Linked DNA regions of Saccharomyces cerevisiae S288C. The protein of the gene in region 1 purifies or fractionates together with the protein of each later gene. This does not show direct contact. Each region holds a gene or a part of one and is shown on either strand. Other genes may lie near its edges. The genes, in order: YLR001C and VTC5.

The links.
Region 2: the proteins of YLR001C (region 1) and VTC5 purify together in Saccharomyces cerevisiae (affinity purification with mass spectrometry, with the first as the bait; one large-scale study listed by BioGRID). This does not show direct contact.

What each region holds. Positions count from the first base shown.
Region 1 is NC_001144.5:145,437-162,014, reverse strand, and holds YLR001C (uncharacterized protein), read left to right. Parts: upstream 1-8,037; coding exon 8,038-10,626; downstream 10,627-16,578. Other genes in the region: mitogen-activated protein kinase kinase kinase SSK1, read left to right, coding at 1-260; TFIIH/NER complex subunit SSL1, read right to left, coding at 581-1,966; THI73 (Thi73p), read left to right, coding at 2,510-4,081; CMS1 (Cms1p), read left to right, coding at 4,285-5,160; NOC3 (Noc3p), read left to right, coding at 5,681-7,672; dynamin-related GTPase DNM1, read right to left, coding at 11,852-14,125; H3 histone acetyltransferase RTT109, read right to left, coding at 14,414-15,724; SFI1 (Sfi1p), read right to left, coding at 15,974-16,578.
Region 2 is NC_001136.10:620,174-637,080, forward strand, and holds VTC5 (Vtc5p), read left to right. Parts: upstream 1-1,938; coding exon 1,939-4,548; downstream 4,549-16,907. Other genes in the region: ILT1 (Ilt1p), read right to left, coding at 4,893-5,825; RLI1 (Fe-S cluster-binding ribosome biosynthesis protein), read right to left, coding at 6,535-8,361; E2 ubiquitin-conjugating protein UBC13, read left to right, coding at 9,703-9,732, 10,001-10,432; aminophospholipid-translocating P4-type ATPase DNF2, read left to right, coding at 11,109-15,947. UniProt on the Saccharomyces cerevisiae protein: Regulatory subunit of the vacuolar transporter chaperone (VTC) complex.

The DNA.
Region 1 (16,578 bases):
ACGACTACCTGACTAAACCAGTGAATTTACACTGGCTTAGTAAGAAAATTACAGAGTGGGGATGTATGCAAGCCTTGATTGATTTTGACAGCTGGAAGCAGGGAGAAAGCCGGATGACCGACAGTGTTTTGGTTAAATCTCCACAGAAACCTATTGCACCTTCCAACCCTCACTCATTCAAACAAGCGACATCTATGACCCCTACACACAGCCCAGTAAGAAAAAATTCAAACCTCTCGCCCACTCAAATAGAATTGTGAGTTTGGTTGTACCGTGTAGAGGACATTATGATAGAATGTAACGATATTTATTCAAAATAATTATTAATATTATTGTAAAACAAAGAATTTTTTTTTTTTTTTTAGTTGAATAAGTGCCTGATAAATTGAAAATAGTAATAAATATTCTTAATGCCGTAAGTGCTATTAAGATTTTCTCGTAATAAACAATAGGACATTAAATGAGGTTATTTTTGTAATAATTATGTAGTTATATGTCCATCAAAAACTATTTCGTTCTCTACTACTTGGATTTGTTATATGATGGAAGAGTGATCGTGTTATACGCTGACAGATTTTCGTTAAGTTATTACGGGCTTGGATTCACAGCCTGGGCAGTTATGAAGGATTTCATGGATGAACACATCGCAGTCAACACAAAATTCTTGTTTACAATCTTCACAACGATAGCGAGAACTTGTCAGTAGTTTACCATTTTTATGGTTTTTCAGTATGGGAAATCTTGACTGGCAACTAAAGCAGTCTTCTGATCGAAATTTTTCTGTTGTAGGTACTTCTGCAAATGTTTTTAACGGCATCAGATGGTGATATGATCTGGCCAGGTGGGTAGAAAGGATTAGCATCAAGTCACAACATGGACAGACTGTGGGCAATGAACAAACTTTACTATGACAATTGGGACAGAAGTATCCGCCGTAAACTAACTTGGAATGGCACGAACAAAAAGTTGGAGTATCTTCGAATATCCTTGTCGGAAACCCCATCTTTACGAGTGTGAAACCCTTATTAATTTTGTTAACGGGTAAAGGGGTAACAGCCTCGTTAAATAGCTCCTTTAAGTGAGTTTCATCGAGTAAAATTTTATAGAAGGATTCATCACCATAATTCGTTGCCTTGCATAATTCTTTACATATGGCCACTTGAGCTGATAACCCCAAAACCTTCACTCTAATTTTCTCAGAAACTAACGAATCGATAGTTTGGTGAATATCTCCAGGATCAGTTGTGGAAAGACTACCAAATACAATCAGTACTTCCCTTGTACAATGCGCAGGAACAGGCAATAAAAGGCCTCTTGCCATTTCCAATGCATTTTGCAATGAAGGGTTTCCTTTCGGTTCTTGTTTCCTGATGGATTTCAACGCATCAATGTGATCCTGCGGGTTTCCGCTAACTTGGCTGACCAGTTGTGCCAAACCGTTTCTCATTATGATAATACCCATTTGAGATATCGGATTTTGGTCGAAAAATTCATGGACAAAATCTATGGCGTACTGGATAATCATGGCATGCCTGTTTGGTCTCAAATCCTTTTCCAACATAGCTTCACTACAATCTAGTGTTAATATTAAACTTCTGATAATACCTCTTTGGTATGGCGTTATGTTTTTCTTAGCAGTACGTTTCTTTCTGGCCTCGACTATGCTAGCCACAAGAGATGCCATATCCCCTTCATCGTCCACTTTCACCAAATCCCAACTTCTCTTGATCTCATCCTCCCAAGCGTACCCACCATTTGAACCTTGCAGGTTTCTATTCGAGAGCCTTTTCTTCTTCTTACGCTGCACATGTTTATCCCTATCCCTGTGGCTTGAACTGTGCTGCTGTTGCTGTTGGTCTACACGATCATCTCCCTCGCCATCAAAATGAACTTGTCTCTTAGTTCTTCTAGTAATGGCAACTCTATCCTCATCCTCTTCAGATTCTGAAATAACTACAGGAGCCATTCTACTGCACAATCCTTCCGCACACACGCAATTAGCTGCCGACTTGCCCCACTAGTAATCACCTGCATCTATATAAGATAAGATGAAGACCTTTTACGTATCTTGAAAAACTATACAATAGCAAAGAAACCTACCACCCAGACCCTGTGCGGAGTATCTCGAACTTCCAGTATATTACTCTCAAGTAGATGACGCGTAATAGACAGGTTTTATTGGCAAATTTCGAGTCGCTATCATTATCAACATTAATTATAGGGTGGTGTTTGGTTGGTTCGAGTGCCGTCATAACTATTTGTTTTTTTTGCATATCTGGTTGATCCTCCTTAGTTAATATAGTCTCTTTGAGTTTCCCTTAAGGAACTGTCATTTGGTCCGGCGGAAAACATGGTGGTGACAGACAGCCTTTTCAGAGGTGATGAGCAATCTCGATGAGCATCTCAGCGGGTGCATATATACACGTATATAAGATAGTTCAAAGTATGATAGATTAAAGTTTACTTTGTTGTTGCTGAGAAGTAGTGAGAGTGTCAGCAAATCAATACAATGAAAAACATGTCACAACGATCCATGGACGTGGAGAAGAAGGCAGCTAACGCTGATAGTTGTTCCGTAAGTACCTCGAGCATTAATGTAGACGATGCGGACGTTGCTTTAAGATTCCTGAAACAGAACGGTCTCGACGAAAGCTCCACGGCTAATGAAGACGATGTTGTAGCAGGCGAAGAAGCCAACTTCTATGGTTCCCATGAATTATCTCCTAAGGTCCTGAGAAAAGTTGACCTCTTCATCCTGCCCTTTTTATGCTGTACATATCTTCTGATGTTTTTGGATAAGGCTCTGCTGAACTACGCTGCATCTATGGGTATCAAAGATCATTTGAAAGGTAACGAATTTTCTAATTTGGGTACTATCTTTTCTGCTGCTTACATTTTCATGGAACCTGTGGTCACTTACTTAATTCAAAAATTCCCCATTTCCAAAATCCTAGGTACTTTTATTACCGTCTGGGGTATCGTGTTGGCTTGCCATGCTGCTTGTAAGACGTACGCCTCGTTGATGGTCGTTCGTACTCTCCTAGGTCTCTTTGAATCCTCGAGTGCAGTTGGTTGTATCGCTATTAGTGGTATGTACTATACTAAATCTGAACAGAGTGCAAGAATTGGATTCTGGGCCACACAGGCTGGTACAGGTTATATTGTGGGCGGGTTAATTTCTTTTGGCTTTTTACATTATCATGGTACCGCTTTCACCTCTTGGCAAATAATGTTTTTGGTCGTTGGTCTGGTTACAGTTGCGTTTGGTGTTCTAACATTCTTATACCTTCCAGATAACGTCACCAATGCTTGGTTCCTAAACAAAGAGGAAAAAATTCAAGTTGTTGAGCATATCAGAGCTAACCAAACTGGCCTGGAAACAAAGAAGTTTAAGAAGCAGCAAGTTAAAGAACTATTCCTTCATGATAAGTTTACTTGGCCGATGCTTTTATTAACTGCATGTTCTCAAATTTCTACTGGTGCCATTGGTACATTTTCAGTGACCATCACTGGTACTTTTGGTTTCGACAAGTACGAAACAGCATTACTGCAGTTGCCTATTGGTGCCATTACGGCTATGATTATTCTTATAACAACTCAAATGTTGTCCCGCTGGGGTCATATCACACTCATAACCACATCTATGTATATTCCAGCTATTATAGGTTGTATCGTTCTTATCAGTTTACCCTTATCCCATAAGATCGGTAACTTATTTTCTCTGTACTTGCTTTACAGTGGTTCCTGTGTCATTACCAATATTTACATCTGGAATTCATGCAACACCTCCGGTTACACCAAAAGAGTTTTTAGAAATGCTATTACAATGATTGTATACAATGTCTCCTGTATTATTGCTCCACAGATGTTTAGGGCATACTCTGCTCCACGTTACATACCAGCAAAGATTGCCTTATTGGTCACTCAGTGTGTTTGTGTTCCCCTACAATTATACATTGGCTACATTTGCAAGAAGGAGAACGAAAAGCGTGATAAGGAACAAGAAGGTCAAGAAAGGAAGAAGTACCAATTTTTGGACTTGACTGATATCGAAAACAGAAATTTCAGGTACATTTACTAATAATCAACTTTTAATTTACAATATATAATATTTTTAGTCTGTAATATTCAATATTCAAAGACACCCAAACATTCATTGCACTTGGTATTTACCAAAAAATTGAAGAGAAAATTTTTGAGATGACCATGGATGAGGCAATGAAAGTCGAAATTTGATCCCCGCTACTAACTTCTAAACATATCGTCAGGACAATTGAGCTGAAAATGTCTAATCCAGATGATTTAGATGATGGACTCGCCTATGATTTTGATGCCGAACATGAAGTAATTTTTGACGCCAAGGATGGTAGTCCCCCAACCAAAAAGGTACAAAAGAGGTCTATAGAACAAGATGACGATGACGTTGATGATATAGATGGGAAAAAAGAGGAGAGAAATTCAGAAGATGATTCGAATAGACCTATTTCGAAAAGACAGAAAAAGCTACAGAAAAAATCAAAGCTAATTGAGAAAAAGAAAGAGGAAAGCCAGTATATCGTCTCACAACGAAAAGCACTTCCAGCAAGTTCACCAGAAAAAATTATTGAGTACCTAACAACTTTGATACGAGAAAAAAATCCTGACTTGAGTGTTTTAGAATTAGAGGAACTTTACTTCAAAAGAAATGATTTTCTTTCGACAGAAAAATTTGACGCTGAACGCAGATTAAGCAATTTCCCAGCCTTTATTCAAAAATTTTCCGTAGCTCCAAAAAAAATTGTTTTTTCTATGTCTAATATTAGAGTAGCAGACGTTTATCGTAGTCTAAACGGTGGCAAAAATTGCGTCAAATTATTCTCTAAAAGTAAACTAAAGGATGACATAGCCACCGTGGAACGTTTACTTACTGACAGCTCTAAAAAATCAAACAAAAATAAAGATTCACTATATTTTATTGCCACTCCAACAAGAATGCAGAAAATTATAGAAGCTACTGACTTACTTTTCCAAGGTAAGGAAAAGTTAGATATCATTCTTGATGCAAGTTATTTAGATCCTAAGGATAATACTATATTATCATTCGAGAATGCAGCCGTCCTCTGCCAAGTCTTGAAAACCTTTTTGAATAAAAAAAGCTCCGTGAAAATACTGTTATATTAATAATAGCGCTTTTTCACTGAGGTTCTACACATAAGATTACGTTTTTAAATACCAGCCTTAATTTAGTATATTAAATATTTCATTCTAGCATTTGATGGGGTACTTCAAATTATCTTCTTTAAATTGTCCAAAGCCCTTCCAAAAAGTAAAATCAAAGGAGAAACTTCGAGAACGCCTAGGCGCGCAGCAAACTCCATATATAACAATGTATTTTTTCTTTAACTACATAAAACCAATTTATCCTATTTTACTCTTTCCATGGAGTGTATGCTTTTTTGTAGTTACTTAGATTCAGAAATTCAATGTCTTCCCTCATTTTCTTCACCGTAGAGTAGACCATGGGACGTCGTTTTACTTTAGTTTTTGAATTTTTTCAGCGATGCCCGAAAACTGAAAATTTTATCTCATCTCATTCACCTGCCTGCCATATATAGTATTTTCATGGTATAAACTTGGCATTTTATGTCTTCAATCATAAGAGTATAATTCCGGGATAAAAGCTGGAGATATCATAGTAATAATGGCTAAGAGAAATAGATCTCAATTTCGCATTCAGGAAAGGACTGCAAAGAAAAGAAAGCACGAAGATTCCTTGTTAGAAGGCAATGTTTTCCAAAATGCACCGGAAGATATGGATGAAAATACCATATATAGCGCAAAAGGCTCATCCTGGGATGAAGAAGAACAGGATTACGAAATGGTTCCTCGGAAGAATCGGTCTGATACATCAAATCTTGTTGAAGGCCTGCCTATAAAAGTTAACGGTAAAGTTGAAAGAAAATTGCATAAAGCCCAAGAAAAACCAAAGGACGATGATGAGGAAGACGAAGACTCTAATGACTCTTCAGAAGATGATGAGGGACCTAATGAAGAACAAGAAGCAGAGGCAAAGGAGGATGAGCCTGATACGGAGGAAAAAATTCTGCAACTAAAAGAAGACATTGCCGATTTAGTCACTAAAGTTATGGAGGAGCCTGAAGAAAATACTGCTGCGTTGGGGCGTCTATGTAAAATGGTGGAATCTAAAAATCCTAATACTTGTAAGTTTTCCATGTTGGCTTTGGTCCCCGTGTTTAAGAGTATCATACCAGGCTATAGAATTCGACCACTAACTGAAACTGAAAAGAAGGAAAAAGTTTCTAAAGAAGTCTCCAAGCTTAGAAACTTTGAGCAAGCCTTAGTTTATAACTACAAAAATTACGTCGGAAGATTACAGAGTCTTTCAAAAACTCCCAGTAATGCTGCTCCTATACAGGTTTCATTAGGGATTTTGGCCACTCAAGCCGCAAAAGAATTGATTTCAACGGCATCCCATTTCAACTTTAGAACAGACATTTTCACTTTACTGTTGCGTAGAATTTGTAAACCAAGAATTTCAACAGATCCAACTTCCATTCAAATAATCCAGACATTTGAAACTCTATTAAATGAGGACGAAGAGGGCTCAATATCATTCGAGATACTAAGAATTTTCAACAAAATACTAAAGACGAGGAACTTCAACATCGAAGAATCTGTTTTAAATATGTTATTATCGTTAGATGTCTTACATGACTATGACCCTAATACTAAATTGAAAGGTAACGTTAGCGCTCCTAAGCTCAAAAAGAAAGATAGGGTCCATCTTTCTAAGAAGCAAAGAAAAGCTCGAAAAGAGATGCAACAAATTGAGGAAGAAATGCGTAACGCTGAGCAAGCTGTTTCTGCGGAGGAAAGAGAAAGAAACCAATCCGAAATTCTAAAAATCGTTTTCACTATATATTTGAATATCTTGAAAAACAATGCAAAAACACTCATTGGATCGGTTTTGGAAGGTCTAACGAAGTTTGGTAATATGGCCAACTTTGATCTATTAGGGGACTTCCTCGAAGTAATGAAAGAACTTATTAGTGACACTGAATTCGATAACCTTTCCTCTGCTGAGGTCCGTAAGGCTTTGCTTTGTATCGTTAGTGCATTCTCACTTATTTCAAATACACAATATATGAAAGTTAATGTGGATTTGTCCAAATTCGTCGATGGGCTTTACGCGCTATTACCTTATATCTGTCTTGATGCAGACATCGAATTATCTTATAGATCGCTAAGGTTGGCTGACCCACTCAATAACGAAATAATAAAACCATCAGTTAACGTTTCTACCAAAGCAGAACTTCTGCTAAAGGCTCTGGACCATGTATTTTTCCGCTCTAAATCAGGGACTAAAGAAAGGGCTACGGCGTTTACCAAAAGATTGTACATGTGCATCAGCCATACCCCAGAAAAAACAAGTATTGCCATTCTTAAATTTATTGATAAATTAATGAATAGATATCCAGAAATTTCAGGCCTTTACTCTTCCGAGGATAGAATAGGCAACGGTCATTTCATAATGGAAGCCGATAATCCTTCAAGGAGTAACCCAGAGGCAGCAACCTTATGGGATAATGCTCTTCTTGAAAAGCATTATTGTCCTGTAGTTACAAAGGGGCTACGCTCTCTATCATCTAGATCTAAAGAGTGTTCTAAATAGCTAGATCCTATATATTAAGTATATAAAGAGCCACGATTATCGTTAGCCAATCATTTTTGCCGTGTCGAGTAGAATTGTATAAATATTAGCATTGTATGAAATTTGAATGAATTACCGCAAAAGTATTATACGTAAGCAATAGAAACAAATATCAGATTCAAGTTCACCAAATCAATATTAACAGCTTACTATATTGTCTTTTTTTATGGAAGAACATTACCGTGAAAACCCGGTAGGAGAATTTTGTTCGGTCGGACTTCCCCATTAGGCGTATATTAAGGGCCTAGAAAATAAGACAAAACGGCTTCTTATCTAAGCTGCTGTGAGTGACAGCATGTATTAACTGAATCAAACGGAGCCCTTTGATGAACATGGCAATCCAAACAATTAAATACATTTTTTGGCTACTGCCGATATTAGGGCTTACACAAGCACTTCTACAAAACCCAGGGGACGATTTTCCATTTAGCACAGTAATAGATATCCTCTCAGAAAATGTTGAATTCTCAACTTTTTTAAGGATTATTCAGAAAACTGGTCACGTACAGTACTTAAATGAGCTACAGAACTTTACACTTTTTGCTCCGATTAATTCAGCATTTATTAAGGGGGACCAAACCACAGACCAATTTGAGGAGCATTTCCATATTGAAGATTTCCTTATTCATGATAGGGTATTGCAAGTGAGAGACCTTGAAAACGGTACCTACCTGGAGAAAAGAGCTGCAAAAGCACCTTTATTGCTGAGAAAGCATGAGCGCCATTGCTTTGTCAATGAAATTGCTGTTGTCGAACCCGATTTGCTGCCTAGTTTCCAGAATGCTTCATTACAAGGTATTAACAATCTTTTACTAATTCAACCTCAAATAAATGAGTTGCTGGTACAACTAGATGAAGAAACCCAAGATTTAAAGATATTTAGTGATTTTATCAGCAGTTTTTCAAACTATAATGCATATACAAACTCATCCACAGTTTTAGTGCCCTTAGATGTTAATTTTCGAAAATTCTTCAATACAATCGAAATAAACTATCTACTTGACAAATATAATAAATTGGGTAAATCTAATACAATTTCTCAGGCCAAATGGGCCGCAGATAGAACTTCCCTTCTTCAAGAACTCATTATTGATGACGTGTATGGTGGTATTTTACCCAAGGAACTAATTTTAGAAAATAAAAACAATCGAAAACTTTTTATGAAGAGTAATTCAGAAGGTACATCAGTAAGTGTAAATAATTCAGATTACTCACCCATATCAAACAGAATTTTTGAAATAGGCGTCGTGCATGGATTTTCTGACTTAGACTTTTTACGAACGCATATACAGTTTGATGCTGAAAAGTACTTGCACGGTTTGAACTGCTCAGAATTCGTAAAGGAGTTATACTTCAGAGACCTTGAAAAATTCATTCAAAACGGAAGGAAAATCACCATATTTGTACCACAAGCCTCTTTTAATGAGGATCGTGGGTACACAAAACCATCACTTCTGTACCATTTTGTAGAAGGTAAAATTGACCTTGAACAGGACTTTTCCTCATTGCGCCCGATTCAATACGCACCTACCCAAATTTATGACTCCGCCTTTTGCTCTTCAGCTAAAAGACTAGGTGGACACTGCCAAAAGTTCAAAATCACAAGGTCTAATAAAGGTTATTACATCAATGGTCGCTTCAAGATTTTAAACACAAAACCTTATGAGATTGGTAATACGTCCATTTATTCTATTGACGATGATCTTCAATTACCGGGCGACTTAGTGTTGTCATTAGCACCAGAAAACCACTGTTCTATTTCCCTAATGCTCTTGAAGGAACTTAACCTTTTGGATCTACCATCAAATCATAAGGGGTACACGATACTTCTTCCATGTATGAATTCATGGGACAATAATGATTTGACTATAGACTATTTGAGGTCAAACAAAACCGCCCTAAATTTACTTATGAGGAACCTAATCTTCGAAGACCTTATTTATTCCAACAATTATAGTATTTCGACTACTGTCAAGAATTTATACGGAAATTCTGTATCTATTGGCGTACAAAAAATTGTGGGAAGCCAAAACCTTACGAAAATCTCAGTGAGTACTATAAAGGAAAGTATTATTATTGAGGAGAGTTCCGATATATTTTTCAACCAGGGAGTTATCCATCCTATAGACCAATTGGATTTTCCAGTCGATTTGGAGATATCCCTAAAAGAGCTGATAGAAACTACTGGAACAAAAGAAATATTTGACTTTTTTAACTTGTTTTATGACCTTTCTTCAATCATTTGGAATAACGAAGAGTACTCGCTTTTAGTTCCAACGGCTTCTTCTATTCCATTAAGTGGCATCACGGCGAACTCGACAAACTTAAGAAAATTCCTCGAACTCCATTTGATTCCTGCTAATGTAACGCAAAACCTACTAGACTGCAATGGCTCCATTAGCACTAAACTAGGTACAAAACTAAACTGCAGAAAAGATCATCTGGACAACGTTTTTGTTAGCATACAGGGCGACTGGACCAAGGAAGTTAGAGTTCTTAAAACAGGATGCACTACTAATTTGAAAAGTTCATGCATATTTCTGATCGACAAACCCATATCCTTATCTTGGCTAAACAGCGAGAAATACCATCTGCGCTTGCCAGGGATAGCGGTTGGATTTGGGGTTATAATAGGTGTTACCATAGCCATTTCTTTATTGTTTTGCATAATAATTACCAGGGGTGGAAAAGTAAAAGACAAAAATCAAAGAGGGAGAAATGATCGAGCAACAACACCACTGATTCAACACTCTCCGATAATCCACAACCCTTCTTACTCGGCAACAGCGCATTTATCACCACTTTCTCAACCCACTTTTGAAGGTTCATATTCTGTGAACGCTATACAAACCCCCAGAGATATACGAAGGGTGGGATCAGATCAAAAGGGCGGTCGCAGTGTCAGTACCTCATAAGTGTTAATATATCATTTAAGTAGTAGATAATATCTTCACAAATTAAGCAATTGAACAAAATAACGTTCGTTTTAAGTTTTGTGGTTATTTTCAAGTTTCTGTGAAAGTATATGTAACTAACAAGAAAGTGACCTTATTTGCCATCATCTACTTCCTTTCCTTTTCTTTTAGCGTCTTGCCGTTAACAATCTTCATATTTAATCTGAGTGGAATTTCTTCTCATTATATTCATCAAGGAGCAAACAAATAAGTTCTAAACTAGCTTTCAAATAAGAACTTTGAGTGTCGATTAAATCAAAATGTAAAAATGGAAATGGCTACTAAATTTATTTATGATTATCAATCTCTAATTTTAGTCAGCTTTTTATAAGGAGAAAACTTGTAGTACGAGGTTAACATAAGAAAGAAAGAGAATGATGAAAAAAAAACAGGATATATTAAATCACGTGTAATAAATATTATTAAAAAGTTTATTAAAATAAAATAATAATTTAAATTACTATTTTTAAATAAGTTTTATTTTTTAATAACACTATTGTATTTGTTATCCGAACAATAAAAACATTTTATTAGCTATTTTTCAAGCATAAAAATTTGTTTTCGGGGTAAAAACTCTTTACGCGGGTGTGTACTTCAAATATTCAACTTTAGAAAAGTAAGCGTTTACTCGTTGATATTAGCATACACCAGTTTGGTTGTCTACAAACCATGTAGAAGGTCTATCTGCTTATTATGACTGATATTCTTTTGATGCATAACGTACTCTTTAATAACCTAGAAATTTCGTTCATCTAGTTAAAACTATAATCATTCGTAGCATTGATAATTAGATTATTGGAAAGGCGCAGAAGATAAATAAGAGCATTCGCTGGTAAACAAAATACATCTTGTCGCTTGCTTAACGGTTAAAAAGGAAATGATCGTACCTATGGACTACGCTTATTATTGATGGAAGGCAATCTTCCACGAAGTCCGCCAAAATAAAAACACTTTTTCCTGTTCTATACCTTTAGGTAGAGCTTCTCTAGTGAAGGTTCTCTAGCTTAGTTAATACTTTTGCGATTGCTAATATTTGTTATTTATTTAGTTATGGATTTTTATTAACAAGAAAAAGAATGGAGAGGAGAGCACATTTGAAATCATCAACTGAGTAAAGGAATAAACACTGACCTATAATCACGCCCGCAATGTTGAAGTAAGATCAAAAATGAGATGAATTATGCAATTACAGAATATTACTAATAAGGGTTGCAGCCTTTTTATAAACTCCGAGTGATTTCACACATAGTTCTCTATCTTGAGCTAAAGTTTGATCCTCAACTAAAAGTTCTTCAAACAGTGTTTCTTTGTAGAGTTTGGTTACCAATCTGTTTTGAACAGAATCCTTACAATAATTGACGAGTAAACACATAACTGCCTTTGGTACTTGATCTTCAATCATTTCTCTTATAATATCAAAGTATGAAACAATCAGACGTTTAATTAATTCGCACTCCAATTCTTCTCTCTCGGTCAGTGGAGGTTCAGCGTTTTCAAGGTCATCTATATCGCCCAGTGAAAAATCTGATATTTGTAAATTTCTAAAATCTTCAATATTTCCATCACCGGCAATGGATCTTTTCTTGTCTGATGCATCGAACACAGGTTGACCCTTTTTATCCTTGCCAAAGAAATAATTTAAAAATTTGTCCTTCGTTTGCTTCGATTCTGCGTCGATACCATCATCATCGTAGTCACTGTTTTTAGCAGAATCTTGATCTATATTCGAAGAGATAGATGAAGTACCATTAATACCGTTGGTTTGTCCATTCTCCTGTTGAGACAACTTACTTTTCAATAACTCTTGATTCCGTTTTCTACGCGTTTTCATGATGTCATCCATTGCTTCTGTTGCACTTAAAAAATTAGGATGATTAGTATTGATGTAGGCTCGATGTATGTCAATCAAGCTTTCAACGTAAGAGCGAGTAGGTTGTAACCTTTCTCTAAGTAGTTCGCTTATAACTTCTATTAACATACTCTTCAATTTAGGATATCTAGCTAGCTCAGCGGAGCCACATTTATGGCATATTTTCATCAGCTCCTCGTAAACTAACTCGACGCAACGTTGAGATGGTTCTAGTAAAAGTTTAATTTGAGGTTTAACCAATAGGTCAAAAGCCAACTCAGGTACAAATAATGTAGGACGGGGACCAGTAGAATTTCTAATCGCTGTTCTAACATCAAGAACGGATAAATTAGAAGTTGGATCAATCGACTTCAAAGAATTCCCAAAAACATTATTGTAAATGTAATAAATACGGGCACCACCACAGAGTTCCTTCGTATTAATGTCGGAGGATGTACCATCTATAGATGAAATGAAGTTTGTAGAAAACTTATTCATTAGTTGAAGAACAAGGCTAGCTCTGCTTTCATTAGTAGTAGCTCCTACGCCACCGTATCTAGCGAGCTCTTGTTCGGTTTGAGAGATCAGGGTATTTAACTTGGTTTTAATATCCGGAAGCTTGTCTCTAATGTGGCTTAATAATGTCTGGTTTAGCAATTTAGCTAAATAACGCGTACCACACTTTGTTGAAATAGTTCTGTAGACTGGATGTTTCCTGAAATAGTCCTCTTCTTTGTCCAATGATTCTTCAACGGTTTTGTTCAATTGAATATCCTGTTGCGAGCGATTCACTACACCAACAAACCCCAATTTCAGAGGATACATTTTTCCAGACAAGATATCTAGAGCATTAGTCCCAGAATCCATCAAATCTAATTTGGTAATGACACCAATAGTCCTTTTGCCCTGAGGGTCTACCTCTCTGGCCAACTTTAAGGATTCAGAATTAACAAGATCAACGTTAGCTGGAGAGACGGCCAAGATTAAACAATTTGGAGTGGCTATATAGTCTAGGATCAAATTCTTGATTTGCTTTTCAATATCAGGTGGTTGTTCCCCAATAGGAACCTTTGTAATCCCAGGCAAATCTACTAGCGTTAGATTCAAAACATGAGGGGAAAACACTTTCAAATTAATCGGAATCTTACTGATGCCCTTATCCTTACCGGCTATCCTCGCTGTTTCGTTTTCGATTTCTCTTTTGATATCGTCGAAATCATAAAACCGTTTTCCTGGTATATGCAGGAATTCCCCCCACTCATCTGCATGATTTCTTTCCTTGCCCCTATACTCCAAGGGCTTCGTACCAGCTTCGAATCCTGATATTTTTGTAACTTCATCATGTGGATTAACTGAGTTATCATCTTCCTCTATTAGAGGAGAATTTGGAGATATGTTATTAAGTTGAAGAACTAACGGTCTTCTTGTGACAATACCAGTACCCCTAGGTAAAAAATCTCTTCCAACTAACGTTTCCAATATCGAGGATTTCCCGGAGGATTGTGACCCAACAACAGCTAAAATGGGCAAATCGAGTGTATCGATCCCGGAGTCGTACATAACATCCTGCAGCTTGTTGACAGTAGGAATAAGATCTTCTAAACTAGCCATTCTTTATCCGTCGTATTTAGATTCGCTGGTAGCTACTTAATGATAAACTCTTTAGCAAATTGTGGCCAACCTGAGCAGTAGAGTAAAGGTAATATTTCATCCTACCCTCTTATTTATTGTTCCCACACTTTGTTTTGCCCGACCTTACAGGCGTGCACCGCGTAGTAAAAGTTGAGGACCTATCATTACCTAGAAAGGTGGCGATCAAGGTACTAACAATAAATACAAACATGCATTTTCTAAGATCGATGCTACATACGTGTACTAAATAATAAATATCAATATGTATCAAGTTTTAGGCAAGGCTTTAGCTTTTTTACGCGGTTTTAGCATTGTTATCGCCAACGTGTTGATGTTGCTTGCAGGAACCGGCTGATTTCTCTCCCGATGCTCCCTCTTCCCTGTTAAAGATTGAAGATTTGTTGCCATTCTGAGCAATAGAAAATCACGAATATTGGTGAAAGCTTCTATTGCGCCTTCCTCTGTATCGTATTCCTCTCCAGTAATGTACTTCTTGATTGCCCTAAACTGCTTCCTTGACTTCGGTACAATAACATCGGCACTAGATGGAAATAAAGATGGAGTGGCAAGAGAGTATCCCGAAATACCCATTACAGATGATGTGACACTTAATTTGAACTCTTGACGCTCTTGTAGTTCAATCCAGAAGGATGATAAGCTTACTTTGAGGAGGCGATCTTCCTCTGCCAATTGGTGTATAAATCTAGCCTTAGGATCGTCTGGGAATAATGGAATATTATATACCGCAAGAGAATTTTCTTTAGAGGTAAATATATCACCCACTTGCCATAGTGGATATTTCATCCCTCTTAGGTATGATCTTACTCGAGCAGGATCTTCGCCCGGTATCCTTAATTTTGCTTGTGTATCATTTTGAAAGCATTCAATTAGTAATCTATCCAAAATAAAGCCCCACCATTTCATTAGTTCCTCGCCATTTAGTATATGCTTTTTGCTGTTTTTTGAAGAATCTGGGAAGAGGTACTGGGATGCAGGTCTAGTAAATAAACAAATTTTGGTCAAAATCTCACGAGGACAGGTGAATGAGAGATAAAGATCTTGTTGAAAACGTGGAGATTCTATTTCTTTCAAAACGGTGCTGCCTGACTGTTTAAGCCTTCTAGCCAAAATCCTTAAAGTTCTTGCTGGCGTACTGGCTGCGCTAATCAGCTCGGGGGATATCTTCTTATATGATCTTATTGCCGGTTTTACTTTTTGAAGATAGTAATTCGGGTCGATTGATAATATAAATTCTAATATTATTTTTGTAATATCTCTAACGCTTACCCTCGTATTACAATAACCATTAGTGTCTGCCTTTGATACAAATATTAACCGTTCGGCATCTGCTTCATCCCAAAGCGTGACATACACATACACTTCTAATGAAAAAAAAACTTTTCCTTGGTGAAATAGACTAAAGAAGTGTTGAGTCTTGATCGTGCTTTTTGGGACCCTTTTGTCGTCCTTATTTGGGGTTACGACAGCATGGGTTTCTAACGGAATAGATTGCAACGATAAGTATTCAAATTGTTCACTGACAGGTAGCACGGAACTTAGGAAGTCATTCAGTGACATGTCTTATTGAAGACCGGTTGAATTGACCTTTTAACTCTACTGGACAACTCTATTGACAAACTGTAGTTTGTTAAGTAATGCGTTATGGCGTCCATTTTCCATTATAGCTTACAACGCGAACACGAAAAGTATAGTATGTTGTGATGTTTTCATAGACCTGGAGAATATTATTAGTAATTGTATGCATCTCAGAAGCAAGAAAGGTTACGACTACATATGCACACATACATACGTACATAATATATATATCTATTGACGTTTACGACTTAACGGGGATTTATCATGCTCTCTTATATAATCCATATCTTGATCGATTTTAGGAGAATTGGCGCTTAGGCTAAAAGGTACAGCGGGTATTCTGCCAAAATCAATATGGTCAACTTTGGATGGCATGTTTCTAGTGGTACGCCTAGGAGAATACCTTAGAGGTTTTCCTCGCGTCGGAGATCCGTTTAAGCCTGTCGTACTTTCAAGGTTGATCTGTTTTTTAGCTGTAGAATCAAGAACACTGGAAGATTTCACCGGACTTGGTATGGCTCTTCTTGCCCTGCTATAATGCGACTTCATCGCTTCCATTCTGTGCTGCTTTATTCTTTCTGAGCCTGGTATGGTTGAGGCGTTTTGAGAGTCTGATCTTATGGGAGTTTTTAGTTCATGTTTAAGATTGAAGTCCTTCCTTCTCTTTGGAGAACTGTCTGAACGATTTTTCCATAATAATAACAATCCCCTTACAGTGGCCCTGTCCCACCGATGACGAAACACCTCGACTGTCTCATCATTACGCTTAATTTTTAGGAATCGAAGACTCCACATTTTCAAGAATTTGGATGTAATTATGAATTGTTTATTAGCTT
Region 2 (16,907 bases), on another chromosome or scaffold:
TTTTAAAGATTTATTTGCCAATCTTCACAACTGCCCTGTTGTATCTATATATTATTCTGTTGAAACAAAGTTTTAATATAGTCTACTAACTAGTATTCCCGCATTTCTCATATTCCTTTGAAAATACCAACTATCGCTTATTTTACCAGCAGTTAATTAACTAAAACGTTCTCATGGGGATGGACACCAGTTAAAGAATCAATAGAACCTTTTTCAAATCTCCATATGGAGCGGCCTCAATGAGTAGCAACGAGGGAAATAATTACTTGCTTCGGCTGCATTCAGTGATTAGTTAAAAAGTCGTCACCCTAAGTTTTTCTGTCGTATTTTAGGCATTTTCATTTTGAGGAAATATCGTATACCTGGTAATTGCCTATATTTTGAGATGAAGACTGTTTCTCATTTCTTTTTGGTCATCTCCTTGCAGAGCATTTGATAATATAGTAGTAATAATGAATTGTAGTCGATAAATGTTAGTTGATTCTCATTCCTATCGTATCGATAAGGAAACCTGAGAAATACCAAGGTTCAACGATAATGGCAAACATGCTTCATTAATCGGTATTCTTGATCAAATACTTCCTTGCCTGCCATACGGCATCCCTTAATCGCAAAATAGTAATATTCTTTCCAACTATATAACCGTTATTTTAACACACATTTCTCAAGAGACCCCTTTCTAGAAATGGCATGGAGTGGCAAGTATCTTCAAGCTATTTTTTAGTTGTTCATGTACTCCATAGAGTGACGGTTCTTGCAATTTCAACTAGTTTCAAGATAGTCATAAAAATTTGCAACCGAGCCCATTACTATATATATATATATACAAAAAATTTTAACATTAAACCTTGAGCTCGGGTTTTATCTCATACCAAGTATTATCAACCTTTGGCCGGTGTGTTCCTAATATGGTATCGATTTTCAAGTATACCGTGTAACATTTGGTTTTTGAATTATCCAGGGGTATTGCAAGGAATATCGTGGATCCTGCCATATGAAGGCGTGGATCTTAATTTATTCACCTTTACTGATCGTACCAAACGAAGTAAGCGTAGAAAGCTAACCAATTTCCTCTTGTTACAGAGAGAAAACTTTTCTTGTACAGTAAACTGAATATGCTACGTCGTAGACTTACAATGACGCCGCACTTAGGGATAGTAGTTACCTTGCTCACTTTACTGTCGTGATCATTACACCCGTACGTAATCGATGATCATTGCAGGAGAGGGGCACTTTGGTCTGACATCACTTTTTTTACCTAATCAAATAGATTGGCTTTTATTTGACAGATAAGGTTTATGATCTCTTTTTTCGAATGGAAAGTTCCATGCAGGCACCCTTTATCTCATTGTATTTAAACTACATATAGAATGGATGGAAACGTGGCAAGTCATATCAGGACGCTTTGAAGACTGATAATTAAAAACATTAAACAAGTTTCCAGATATCAGGAAGCGACCAAGCCAATATTCAGAACTTTCGTTTCGAAAAACACAGTAATATATTATTCTCAAAAATTACCACACTTTTTTTAGGCAAGGCTGCAAAATAATACCAGAAAAGCAGAGGCGGTTCTTAACTTCTGTGTAAATTCAGTGCAGGAGGACGGGTGTTGTGTTATTAACTTGCAAGGAAAAGAAAGTTTGTGTCTCCCCTTGTTCTACGCTAGCGAAATGGGTGTGTGGAAGAGTCAAAACTGAACCAAGAAAAAAAAAAAAAAAAAAACAAAACAGATAAAAAGATAAACAAAGGCAAGATCAAAAAGCCCTATCGTGAACGCTATCAAAGGACTTTTAAAATTCATAAATTAATAGTTCGTCCGTTGCCCTCTTGAATATAATAGAGATAGAGTTTAATACTTGCTTTTTACCTTTGCTTTTTTTTTGTATATCTCCATCTCAGCCCTAGGTAAGGATAGATACGAAGGGTTGTACAATCATGAAATTTGAAGATCGCATATTGAATAAATCAATCCCTGAATGGAAATTCTACAATATTAACTATGAGAAGTTAAAAGTAGCCATAAAAAAAGTAACGGCTTATGATTATGACAATCCAAATGATTCGGGCATGGAGAAGTTGTTGAATCAATGTTCAGTAGCCTTTGACCAGGAATTTCAAAATGTTAATTTATTTGTTTCTTTGAAAATAAAGGAAATTTCCACTCGTATTCTTTCTGTGGAATCATCAATAATCGATTTTTCAAAGGGCTTAAACAAAACTTCCAGAAACCGTTTCAACCTTCGTAAACTGAAAATCATCAACGCTCATGTAGACGATTGTAACTTTGAACTACAACTACTGTCAAGGTTTTTGATAATACAAAGGATTGCCTTGAGAAAGTTATTCAAAAAATTACTAAATGAATTTCCTCAAGACAGTGAAAATCCATTGACTGCAAGTGAGTATGTTACGTCGATCAGAAACTCTGAAAGTTTACGAAATGGACACGAAGGCATATCATTTATGAAGCTTGATTTAGATCCATATCTTTTAGAAGTTTCGCTAATTGTTGATGTTTTACATGATTTGGAAAATAAACTTGAAGATGCAACTGAGCCAGCAGTGGAGCAAAGATCCCTAAACCGCTCCGATGAATCTGCCCATACAAGTTCAAGTCCAGAAGCCAACAATTCTTCCTTGCCAGCATCTCCAAGGTCAATTCCGCTACTTTCAAACAAGAAAACTTCAAAAATGATTGATTCTTCGCTAGAATTCGATACTGCCCTCATAGATAAAGCAGAGAATCTAGGAAGGTTTTTATTATCGTCCGAGGACATAGAGGGACTGAAGTTCATGCTATTGAATATTGGTTTTAGGATAATTGACGATAGCATCATATCCACTTCAAAGGAGATTTTAGACACTACAGATAATATTAATTCTGCGGGCAACAAATCTATAAGATCAGCAAAGTCATTCAATGACTTACAACATACCTTATCCCTATCTAAACAGAAGAACATATTACCCTCTGCTGTACAATCCAATGAGAAGTACGTTTCTATTAGTATACTAGATACTGTCGGGAACGAAGGCAGTCCTTTACTACTTACTGATGATAATATAAATCAGCACCCAAACATGATAGTCAGCTCTACTGCTGAGGATACTTGTATAGTAATGTGCCACGTGGGCGGCTTAAGAAATCATGTTGTCACAAATGATCTGCTTCTAAGGGATGTAAAGAATATTCTTTCGGCCATGAGGAGTGGCAACGACACAAAAAATATTAGCGCTCTCATAAACTCACTGGATCCATCGCCAATCAGTAAGATCGCTTTGGAGTGGATTCAGTCCCATCGATTAAAAACCATTGAACCAAAGCTAGATTTTAAAAGAACAAGATTCATATCAGCAGACAATGGAGATATATACTTGATAGCTTTGGATGAATCTATCACTATTGGAAATGTATCTACATTACCCTTTCCAATTTTAGAAATTAAAAAGCTTAGTCGATCCAGTGGTCTTTCACAGACGGCTATTAATGAAGACAATAAGTTTAAACAGTTAATGAAATCAGTTGTTACAAATGAGTTTCAATGCAGCTTAATACCACCAGACTTAACCACATGGAAAATATGTTTAGAATTAGTACACTCAAATGAATTGCAAAATGATTTATTTCAACTTTTACTAAGAGATCAATATAAATTAAATTCCGATGATTCGCTATCACCTGATGAATTTTTCCAGCTGGGCAAGGATCGTCTAGAGGAAGAGTTTGACCTGACTGGGCCGATAAACAACTCACAAGGTAGTGTTGACAGCGGCAGAAGAGTTCGAATTCACAAAAAATCAAAGCAATCGGATAATGAAACTAAAAAGAAACCTATTAGGTATTGGAATGAATTTGATGAACAAGAAGAGGATAATTTAGACAATGCTTTTTACATTGATACTAATGGAAGCAGGAGTACAACAGATAACGAAGAATCCTTACTTTTGAGAAATTCTCCGCCTGATTATGGGTTTATTTTGTTTAGCCGGAATTTCATCAACCGCACATATGATTTTTGTGAGAAGTTACGAAACTTGATTCGCCATGACAAGAAAACATCGCCAGATTTGTTTCAAAACTCTAAGCATCCGCATTGTTCATCAACTAACTATGGTTCTGTTGCGTCATTTGGTTCACAATCAACTTCAGCGTCATATGATGACGTTCAAAGGTACTTACAGTATCAACAGCAAGACATAGAGGACTCACAATCTATCTACGAATATAGGCATGACGAAGTTGTTACATTTTTATACTTGTCTGCACTGCTAACATCTTGCATTATGGCAAGTGTATGTCTGGGAATCGTTTTATCCTTGTTTCGCGGGCAAAGTAATAATGAGATAGATTTAGAAATTCAAAATATTCTCATAGCCATTATTATCATTTCCTTACTGGTTTCCCTTATTTTGATCTGTGCGTGCCTGTTGTTGTTATTTAGTCGGTTCACTTTGGCGCCAATCTGGCATTATGTTGGTTGCTTCACAATGTTTTTCTCAGTTACTGGAACAGTGTGCTATGGTATGATTGAAATTTTCTTTTAATTATTTTGGACGATAAAAGTTTTTCATGTGTACAGTCTATATAAAATATGCATATCATGTGGTTACATAAGAAGAATGTTAATCTTGTTTGGAGATTTTGTTTTTGGAAACTTCGCCATTGCGAAGGGTGTTGCAAACTGAATTTCTGTTTAAGTTTTTAATTAATAATCCTTATTTTGATCTTTTCTGATGGCCGTGTTTGAACGCATAGTATTGTGAATATAAGCGAAGTGAAAACCTTTACACCTGCGGCAGATGCCATATTACTGCGCTAGTGGTGAATATTATTAAGCGTGCTATCAAAAAGAGATGAAAACGTGCTAACTAAAAAGGACTCAGATTCGTTACACACTTAGCCTCGAATAACGATCAGGATCTGTTCTAACCACAACTCCATGGACAGCATGCAATGTTTGGGCTCTTGATAACGTCCCCCCATCAGTACTATCGTATATATTAAAATCGTCTGCAAAGCTCGAAGCATCGTCGGGGATTGAACAGTTATCCAGGTTATAGTTAGTAACATTTCGGTCACTCTTGCTAATATCTTGTTCGATTTTTTCATCGGGTTCTTCCTTTTGAGCTTGGCCACTTTCTTCGTCAAAAGTATTGCCTTTAGCTAGGAATCTAAACCTACACCACCATATGAAATGAGACGCGAAAATTCCTAACTCCATTCCAGCAACTATTGAGTATAATATAATACCCATAATATCCATATTACCTAGGATAACACTGATGATAGATAGCCAAGCACCTAATGAATCGATGAATAAGAAGGCAAAGTTGATGCCAATAACACGACCTTTCCTTTTGGCTAGTTCAAAGTAAGGTGGAAGCAGTCCGACAGCTAACAAAACAGATGCAGAAATACCAAAAATCAGATCGGGCCATTTAACACCCTTCTCGTAAAGGGGCCTCAGCCATAATATAAAGCCAACTTCCATGCCAACATCAGCCGCAATAATAGCAGCTACAATCATTACTATTTTGGATCTCGCCATACTGATTGGTGGATAATAACACGATTGGACGAAACTTATAGAACAGAAGAACATAAAAAGGTGTGGTTGAACTTGTAAAATGACATTACCTTTACTAACACAGAAATATATGGCAAATGGAATTCCGGAAACAACCCAGAGGAACATCATCAGTGGTGGCAGCCCCGTACAGTCCTTTTTTTTCCAATTATATATTATTTGCGGAATTAGCTGGACACACCAGCAAACTGTTGCTATAGTAGCTAAAGCGGTAGCAGCCTTTTCAGAGATCATGAATACCTTATTCTTAAATCTATGTTATGTTATAGTATTCCACAGTTTATATTTCAGCGGTTAATTTGAAAATAGAGATCAGCGGAAAGTAGAAGGCACCAGAAGGAAAGCATTATTTATATGAGTTTCGTTTGGTACGAGAAGTGTGATACAGAGGTAATCTACCTATCTAGTCATTGAAAAATGCTATCAAGAAACGGCGTTCTCATATTACCCGAAGCACCTTATCTGGCGCTCACACCGCGGAAATAATTGGGTGATATTTTAGACAAACGGACTTTAATGTCATGCTAAGATAAACGTTCAGTAATGCAGCAAATGCTTATCATGACGACTCGTTTACAAGGTAAATTCGATTACGAAGAAGGTGCGGACAAAATAACGATTAATTAAAATACAATAGGTATATAAAATAAATAGAGAATAAATATAGTGTAGTTGCTTTACAGAAAAATGAAATAAACTGGAGTACGGATCACCGAAGAGGAGGTTGTTCACTTTCAGGTTATGATGTAATGAAGGTGGGAAGTTAGAAATGTATTAGTTGGCGTATATCTAGAAATAAACAACCCGATGCTTGGGAAGGAACTCAATGTAATATAATACTCATTTTGTTTTGCAAAAACATTATAACTCTTAATTATTTCTCCACATTTCTAAACCCAAAAATAAAACAATCGTCCTCTTGGTTCTCCGAATCCCAAGATGCTTAAATACCGGTGTTATCCAAGAAAAAGTAGTTTCCTGATGATTTTTGTTCTTTATCCATTTGGGAATCTAGCTTATTAATTCTTGGTCTGAAGGAGTTTGGATCCCTTCTGAAGGTGACATTCAAATTCTTCAAAAATCTGTTACAACCAGTCAACAAAGATTCAGGGGCTCTTGCGTGAGCATTCTTGGAAGGAATACCTTCAAAAACAATGACCTTATCAGCAAGATAAGTAGCCATGATGAAATCGTGCTCGACAATAAACGCAGTTTTCTTATTATGTAAGATGAATCTTCTGATAACTTTAGAACAGATAATACGTTGTTCGGAATCTAAGTAGGCAGATGGCTCATCAATCAAGTATATGTCTGCTGGGATACCCAATGCCAAGACGATGGCGACTCTTTGTAATTCACCACCAGACAAATGTTGGACTTCTTGATCAATAATATCGTCAATCCTTAAAGGTTTAACGACATCAGTCTGAAACTGTGGATTTAGGAATTGTCCTCTAATTTTCTTGAAAAACAATTGTCTGACAGTACCTGGGAACTTTGGTGCAATTTTTTGTGGTTTCATAGAAACATTCAATTTTGGAATATCTTGTCCTTCATCTGGCTTCAAAGCACCAGCTAGTAATTTGATCAAAGTGGTCTTACCGGTACCGTTTTCACCCATCATAACAAGGATTTCGGAATCGGAGAATTCACCTTCTTCAACATTCAAAACAAAATCACCTTGAGTTTTCTTCAAACTTGGGTAAGAGAAGGCGCGACTAGCAGAGTCATTCTGCAAGTCTTCGGTAGCATCAGCTATTCTAAATTGTAAAGCTTCAGTTCTGAATCTCAGGTTTTCAGCAGGAATATGACCGTCCAAGAATATGTTGATACCTTCTCTGACAGAGGCTGGTAATGTAACAACACCGTAAACAGATGGAACACCATATATGATACAAACGAAATCGGAAAGATAATCCAAAACTGACAAATCGTGCTCAACACAAATAACGTATTTAGTTGGAGCTAGTAAAGATCTAATAATTTGAGCGGCATTCAAACGTTGCTTAACATCCAAATAAGATGAAGGTTCATCGAACATATAAACATCAGCCTCTTGAACACATGACATACCAATGGCAAATCTTTGCAGTTCACCACCAGATAACTTTTCAATATCTCTTTTCAAAACGTTTTCCAACTGTAAAATTTTGATGTAGCGTTTCACATCTTCAGGACTTTTTTCCATTCTCAATTTCAAAAGTTCGCCAACTTTTTGAACCGGACCTTTAATAGCACGAGGAATGTTATCAACATATTGAGGTTTGATTATAGCCTTGATATCATCTTCCAGCATCTTGGTGAAGTAATTTTGTAATTCAGAACCACGGAAATATTTAATAATTTCCTGCCATTCAGGAGGATCATCAAAACGACCTAAATTAGGTTTTTGTTTACCGGCTAAGATTTTCAAGGCGGTAGACTTACCAATACCGTTGGTACCGACTAAACCAAGGACTTGACCCGGTCTTGGTGTTGGCAATCTGTGCAGTTTGAAACTATTGGCAGAGTAACGGTGAGTTACATGGGCTTCTAAATTAGTTGGCAAATTGATAATTTGAATAGCATCAAATGGACATTTCTTAACGCAAATACCACAACCAATACACAAGATTTCGGAAATGAATGCGATTTTTGAAGTTGGAGTGACTTCAATACATAATTTACCAGTTTTCACAACGGGACACGAACGTTTACACTCTTGACGACACTTTTTTGGTTTACATTTATCAGCGCTAACGATAGCGATACGACTGTTTTTATCACTCATTATGGTCTGTCGTGTTTTCTTAAGAACTTTTGCAGAAGGCTAGGTGGAATTCGCGCTGAAACAGATCACAATGAAGATCTAAGAATACAGAAACAATAAAGGTTAATGCCCAGTTTTACATTTTTTTTTTTTCACTTTCACTTTGCTAGCGAGCGATGCGATTGAGAAAAAAAATAGAAAATTTTTTCAGTTGCAAAACTACCCGGCTAGAAATCTGGTTCGATGCACACGAGTAACAAGAGATTGTTTTTCTATCCATGGTATTTGCTTATGAACAGGTGACTGAAGCAGCGTATAGTCATGTTCAGTCTTTACTATGTGAAGGGTAGGATGCTAATGACCGGCTCTTTCTTATCCTCCGCGGTGTTTTAAACGATGCTCCTTTCAAGTACGCTATTCCGTACTATTTTTTACTGTGATAATTTGATCATCAACAACGACGAAAATGACACGTCGGCGGCTAATTTGATATTTCTTTATTTGTGTATTTCCGTTGCAGATACGAGGGCGTTTTACATGACATCAAACTATTAGGAAAATCCTTTTCCAATTCAGTTTGTAGTAAACCATGATAGGCCACAAGACATTTTTTTTCAACTGGGGAGAAATTTAACAAGGACGTCTTTTTTTATTTAGACGATAAAAAACCAAGAAACAAAACTAGTAAAGGTTCTTGGAAGCATTTATCTGGATGCAAAATAATCGTTATTCTTGGGCATGCTGACAATGCTGAAAAAGTTATCCAAACAAAGTAGTCAAATATTCAAGATCACTATTAGATCGCTAAACATTAATTTCTCATTTTGCGACGATACTTTTTTTACAGAATATAAATTCATGTTAATTTTGAGATATTTAAGCGTTTCATCTCTTTTTTTCTGGGCTAAAAAAGCTTTTCGATGTCTAGAAATACTACCAACAAATACTTGAATGCAGAACAAGAAGGAAAAAAGCTTGATACTAGTCAAGCTTAATGATTAGATTCTGCGGGAGCCGCGGGAACAGAAAATACTAACGTTTTAAATATCATTTAAAAAATTACCAAAGTACAATAAGCAGTTTTTTCTTTGCCTTCTCTACATGTGAACAAATATAATGGGCATCTAACAGGAATTTGTTTTCCTTTAAACCATCAAAGAGAATAGTTCAGTTAATTATGCCGCATCCGTATTGTTACCCGAAATTATGGTGTTTTTAAAACAAAGGATAAGTGATTCATTGAAAGATGGCGCGCCACCACGAACCAAAACACCTCTATAGAGAATAGTACTTTACACTCTTCTGTTCTTTTTTTTTCCAATATTAGCAAATAAGGTCAGGTTCATTGTAACATAGTTAGAAATGGCATCATTACCCAAGAGAATAATCAAGGTATGTTCAAACAAGAGCAGTGGATTATATACGAAATCTGAAGTGACGTTTTCGTCTGAGCCGTCACACTCTACACTGTTTCCTCTTGATAATGGCTAGAACTTACATACTAACGCAAAACTTCCAAAACAAGAAGGCTTTTTTTGTCCAGTTTGTAGCAGCGTTCCGCCTTCCCTTTGTCCATATCCGCAAACGCTCATATGGAGGGAATTCAACAGAACAAACTACTAGGGCAGAAAACGCAAAGTCTTTGTGAACTTTCATATAGGAAACTGAGAAATTAGTAAGTGACCCAGTACCTGGCATTACAGCAGAACCACATGACGACAACTTACGTTACTTCCAAGTAACAATCGAAGGCCCAGAACAGTCACCATATGAAGACGGTATTTTCGAATTAGAATTATATCTGCCTGACGACTATCCAATGGAAGCACCGAAAGTACGTTTTTTAACCAAGATATATCATCCCAATATTGATAGGTTGGGCCGTATATGTCTTGATGTGCTTAAAACTAATTGGTCACCCGCTTTACAGATCAGAACCGTCCTGCTGTCCATTCAAGCACTGTTGGCTAGCCCTAATCCTAATGATCCGCTAGCTAATGACGTCGCTGAAGATTGGATAAAGAATGAGCAAGGTGCCAAAGCTAAGGCTCGCGAATGGACGAAATTGTATGCAAAGAAGAAACCCGAGTGATCATTTCTGTATAAGTTTTCTCAACTGAATATATAAATATATATCATTACTATGCTGCTGCTGCTGCAAAAAAAAAAAAATTTACGATAAATGCAAAAACCATAGATGGTCATCTAAAGAGGCGCATTTCTCAAAAATGTAGCGTCGCTAAAATGGTTTTCTCTACCTTTAGTTTTACGCCAGATTTTTACTAGACGCGTTTTAGTTTACTTTTTCCTACCCTGTTCGTTTTTTTTTTTTTTTTCGCACCAAATTTTTCAACCGTTCCATGGAAGCCGGGATCGACCGTCCTACACTAATGTAAGCATTAGTCCGCTCGAGGGTCCACGTTTAATTCCGGATCATAAAGTTTTTAATGTATTTCTTGTTATTATCGCTTTTGTTGATCTTACCTGCTATTGCATAGAGACAGACAATAGACAAACCAGATTCATCGCTTACTCGGTGGTTTACCTCTTAGTATTACTTTCGCTGCTTCTTTCTGCTGTGACAGAGTCTCAGGTGAAACAAATTAATCAAAAGAGTTGATTAAACGCAAGAGCGTTGAGAGAGTTTAAAAAACCATCCGTTTCTTTTTCTATTTGCTTTCACATTGTTCGTACTTTGTTCCTTTTTTCCTAATCCTTTTAATAATAGAATTCTTTAAAAAGAATCATAGCATAAACTCAACACATATATGTCAAGTCCCTCCAAACCCACTTCTCCCTTCGTGGATGATATTGAGCATGAATCGGGATCAGCATCTAATGGTCTGTCGTCCATGTCACCATTTGACGATAGTTTTCAATTTGAAAAACCCAGTAGTGCGCATGGAAATATTGAAGTAGCGAAAACCGGCGGTTCTGTTTTGAAGCGACAATCTAAGCCAATGAAAGATATTAGCACACCCGATCTCTCAAAAGTTACTTTTGATGGAATCGATGATTATAGTAACGATAATGATATTAATGATGATGATGAACTCAATGGTAAAAAAACCGAGATACATGAACACGAAAATGAGGTGGATGATGACCTCCATTCGTTCCAGGCAACACCTATGCCTAATACTGGAGGCTTTGAGGATGTTGAGTTGGATAACAATGAAGGTAGCAACAATGATTCCCAGGCAGATCATAAGTTGAAAAGAGTACGTTTTGGTACAAGAAGAAATAAGTCAGGTAGGATAGATATAAATAGGTCAAAAACATTGAAATGGGCCAAGAAGAACTTCCACAATGCTATTGATGAATTCAGTACAAAAGAAGACAGTCTCGAAAATTCAGCCTTGCAAAATAGGTCTGATGAGTTGAGAACAGTTTACTATAATTTACCCTTGCCGGAGGACATGCTTGACGAGGACGGCTTACCGTTGGCAGTTTACCCGCGTAATAAAATCAGGACTACGAAGTATACTCCATTAACATTTTTTCCCAAGAACATTCTTTTCCAATTTCATAATTTTGCCAATATTTACTTTTTAATACTGTTGATTCTAGGTGCTTTTCAAATATTTGGTGTGACAAATCCAGGTTTTGCATCCGTTCCCCTAATTGTCATCGTAATTATCACTGCTATTAAGGATGGTATCGAAGATTCCAGAAGGACTGTATTGGATTTAGAAGTTAATAATACAAGAACACATATCTTAAGCGGGGTGAAGAATGAAAATGTTGCTGTTGATAACGTTTCCTTATGGAGGCGTTTCAAGAAAGCGAATACAAGGGCATTGATTAAAATTTTTGAGTATTTTTCAGAAAACCTCACTGCTGCTGGTAGAGAAAAGAAGTTACAGAAAAAAAGGGAAGAATTACGAAGGAAGAGGAACTCGAGAAGCTTTGGGCCACGTGGGTCTCTGGATTCAATTGGTAGTTACAGAATGTCTGCCGACTTTGGTCGTCCCTCTTTGGATTATGAGAACCTGAATCAAACAATGTCACAGGCTAACAGGTATAACGATGGTGAAAATTTAGTTGATCGAACGCTACAGCCAAACCCTGAATGTAGGTTTGCCAAGGATTACTGGAAAAATGTTAAAGTTGGTGATATTGTTCGTGTTCACAATAACGATGAAATTCCTGCTGATATGATCTTATTATCGACATCAGATGTTGATGGCGCTTGTTATGTGGAAACCAAAAATTTGGATGGTGAAACAAATCTAAAGGTCCGTCAATCATTAAAATGTAGCAAGATTATTAAGAGTTCAAGGGATATTACCAGGACGAAGTTTTGGGTTGAAAGTGAAGGCCCACATGCCAACTTGTATTCTTATCAAGGTAATTTCAAATGGCAAGATACACAAAATGGAAACATCAGAAATGAGCCTGTAAATATCAATAACTTATTATTGAGAGGTTGTACCTTGAGAAACACTAAGTGGGCCATGGGTATGGTTATTTTTACTGGTGACGATACCAAGATTATGATAAACGCTGGTGTCACTCCAACCAAAAAATCCAGAATTTCAAGAGAGTTGAATTTTTCTGTGATTTTGAATTTTGTACTATTGTTTATCCTATGTTTCACTGCTGGTATTGTTAACGGTGTTTATTATAAACAGAAACCTCGATCGAGAGATTATTTTGAATTTGGTACCATTGGAGGTTCTGCCTCAACTAACGGTTTTGTTTCTTTTTGGGTGGCGGTTATTCTTTATCAGTCATTGGTTCCGATCTCTTTATATATTTCTGTGGAAATTATTAAGACAGCACAGGCTATTTTCATTTACACTGATGTTTTGTTGTATAATGCCAAGCTAGACTATCCATGTACACCAAAGTCGTGGAACATCTCCGATGATTTGGGTCAAATTGAGTATATTTTTTCAGATAAAACAGGCACCTTGACACAAAATGTGATGGAATTCAAAAAATGTACTATTAACGGTGTGTCTTATGGACGTGCCTATACGGAGGCACTAGCAGGCCTGAGGAAGAGACAAGGTGTTGATGTCGAATCGGAAGGTCGTCGCGAAAAGGAAGAGATAGCAAAAGATAGGGAAACAATGATCGACGAATTAAGATCAATGAGTGATAATACACAGTTTTGTCCGGAGGATTTAACTTTTGTATCTAAGGAAATTGTGGAAGACTTGAAAGGATCCAGTGGCGACCATCAACAAAAGTGCTGTGAACACTTTTTGCTGGCGCTCGCATTATGTCATTCTGTCCTTGTGGAGCCAAATAAAGATGATCCTAAAAAACTGGACATCAAGGCTCAATCACCTGATGAGTCTGCCTTAGTTTCCACCGCCAGACAATTAGGGTACAGTTTCGTTGGTAGTTCAAAAAGTGGATTGATAGTAGAGATCCAGGGTGTTCAAAAGGAGTTCCAAGTTCTGAACGTACTTGAATTCAATTCGTCGAGAAAAAGGATGAGTTGCATTATCAAGATCCCTGGCTCTACACCAAAGGATGAACCTAAAGCACTGTTAATATGTAAAGGTGCGGATTCCGTTATCTATTCAAGATTAGATCGCACTCAAAACGACGCTACTTTGTTGGAAAAGACGGCCCTCCATTTGGAAGAATATGCCACAGAAGGTTTAAGAACATTATGTTTGGCTCAAAGAGAGCTCACGTGGTCCGAGTATGAACGTTGGGTTAAGACTTATGATGTGGCCGCTGCATCCGTTACTAATAGGGAGGAAGAGTTGGACAAAGTTACTGACGTTATTGAACGTGAGCTTATTTTGCTTGGTGGTACGGCCATTGAGGATCGTTTACAAGATGGTGTTCCTGATTCGATTGCCCTCTTGGCCGAGGCCGGTATTAAGTTATGGGTCCTAACGGGTGATAAAGTGGAAACTGCCATTAACATTGGTTTTTCCTGCAATGTTTTGAACAATGATATGGAATTATTGGTTGTGAAGGCTTCCGGCGAAGATGTAGAAGAATTTGGTAGTGACCCTATTCAAGTGGTTAACAATTTGGTGACAAAATACTTAAGGGAAAAATTTGGCATGAGTGGATCCGAGGAGGAGTTAAAAGAAGCTAAAAGAGAGCATGGTTTGCCACAGGGAAATTTTGCTGTCATTATCGATGGCGATGCGCTAAAAGTTGCTTTGAATGGTGAAGAAATGAGACGCAAGTTCTTGCTACTGTGTAAGAATTGTAAAGCTGTTTTGTGTTGCAGAGTTTCTCCAGCACAAAAGGCTGCAGTGGTCAAGTTGGTAAAAAAGACCTTAGACGTTATGACCTTGGCCATTGGTGATGGTTCGAATGATGTAGCCATGATTCAATCGGCGGACGTTGGTGTTGGTATCGCGGGTGAAGAAGGCAGACAAGCTGTCATGTGTTCTGATTATGCCATCGGGCAGTTCAGATATGTGACAAGACTGGTATTGGTGCATGGTAAATGGTGTTATAAGAGACTGGCAGAGATGATCCCACAGTTTTTCTACAAGAACGTTATTTTTACGCTATCCCTGTTCTGGTATGGTATTTACAATAATTTCGATGGGTCGTATTTGTTTGAGTATACGTACTTGACATTCTACAATCTTGCATTCACATCCGTACCTGTTATTTTACTAGCAGTACTCGACCAAGATGTTTCCGACACCGTTTCGATGCTGGTGCCACAGTTGTACCGTGTGGGTATCCTAAGAAAAGAATGGAACCAAACCAAATTTCTTTGGTACATGTTGGATGGTGTATACCAATCTGTGATATGCTTCTTTTTCCCCTATTTGGCGTACCATAAAAACATGGTTGTAACTGAAAATGGCCTTGGACTAGACCACCGTTACTTTGTCGGTGTCTTCGTTACAGCAATTGCAGTCACTTCATGTAACTTTTACGTCTTCATGGAACAGTATAGATGGGACTGGTTCTGTGGCCTATTCATATGTCTATCACTGGCCGTGTTTTACGGCTGGACGGGTATATGGACAAGCTCGTCGTCAAGTAACGAATTTTACAAGGGTGCGGCGCGTGTATTCGCACAACCTGCCTATTGGGCAGTACTTTTCGTTGGCGTGCTGTTCTGCCTACTGCCAAGATTCACCATTGACTGTATCAGAAAGATATTCTATCCGAAAGATATAGAGATCGTTAGAGAAATGTGGTTACGCGGTGATTTTGACCTCTACCCACAAGGCTACGACCCTACGGACCCTAGCAGGCCCAGAATAAACGAAATACGTCCCCTTACAGATTTCAAAGAGCCCATTTCACTGGACACTCATTTTGATGGTGTCAGCCACTCACAAGAGACCATAGTCACAGAGGAAATACCAATGAGTATACTCAATGGTGAGCAAGGCTCGCGCAAGGGGTACCGTGTCTCTACCACTCTGGAACGCCGTGACCAGCTCAGCCCCGTTACAACAACGAACAACTTGCCTAGAAGATCAATGGCCAGTGCCCGCGGAAATAAGCTCAGAACTTCGCTGGATCGCACAAGAGAAGAGATGCTTGCCAACCACCAACTGGACACAAGATACTCCGTGGAAAGAGCACGTGCCTCGCTGGATCTGCCGGGTATCAATCATGCAGAGACGCTGCTCAGCCAGCGCAGCAGGGACCGTTAATGATTACAATTTTTTTCTTCCTTTGTACTATGTATACCAATGTGATATGATATAGATTTCATATAGGATGTGATGATGTGTATCACCCGGCACGGCTCTACCCCGCCCTGTGGGGTGTGGAGAAAACGCCGCGCAGAGCCTTGAGTAGGAAGGGGCTGGGTTCTCCCCTTCCTGCCGGGGTCCGCCCGGCGCCAAGAGTAAGAGAGCGAAGCCGGAGACGTAATATGAAAAAAATTTTGAGGGGAAAGGGCGTCCGCAAGGGCAAGGGCAAGGGGAAGGGGTGGCGTTTTGTGCTTCAAGGAATTATATTTCGTTGTTTTCCGCACTATGGCGGCATTGTGGCAAGTAACTACTTTACGGAGAAAGACTAGAAAATGGTTACAACTGCCACTATTACCGCTTCGCATTCTCTTGTCTTACAGGTCCCTTGAATTGGCATTTACGTTTACATCCGATCCGGTTTTTCACCAAAGAGAAAGGAAAGGAAAGGTAAAAATAGCAAACCGAAAAAGAAAACAGTATTTTCTCTCTGTTTAGGATTATTACCACTACTTACTGAAGAGAAGTTTTTAACGTTTATCGTTTGTGTTGAGGTAGAAGTACAAACGCGTGTGTGAGTTGTGTATTTGAAATTATTATCCTTCTACGCATATCGGGAAAAAGTTAACGGAAAAAACAAGAAGAAAACCTCCCCCCTCCTCCTCCCGCCATACAGAAGGCAAAAGAAGTTGGTCTGTTAGGAAGAAAATAGCCAAGTAATAATACGTTTGGCCAGTTGTATTTTTTTTTTGTTTCGCTAAGTCTCTTGCTTACAGAAACTCTTTGCCCACCACATATTTCATCGTTTTTCCTTTCTGTTCATCATTAACCTCCATTTCCCAATTTTTTCCAATTTTCAATTTTTTTCACTATTTGTTTCTTTGTTGGGCGTTTAAAAAGTATTTGCTTCTACAAAGTGAA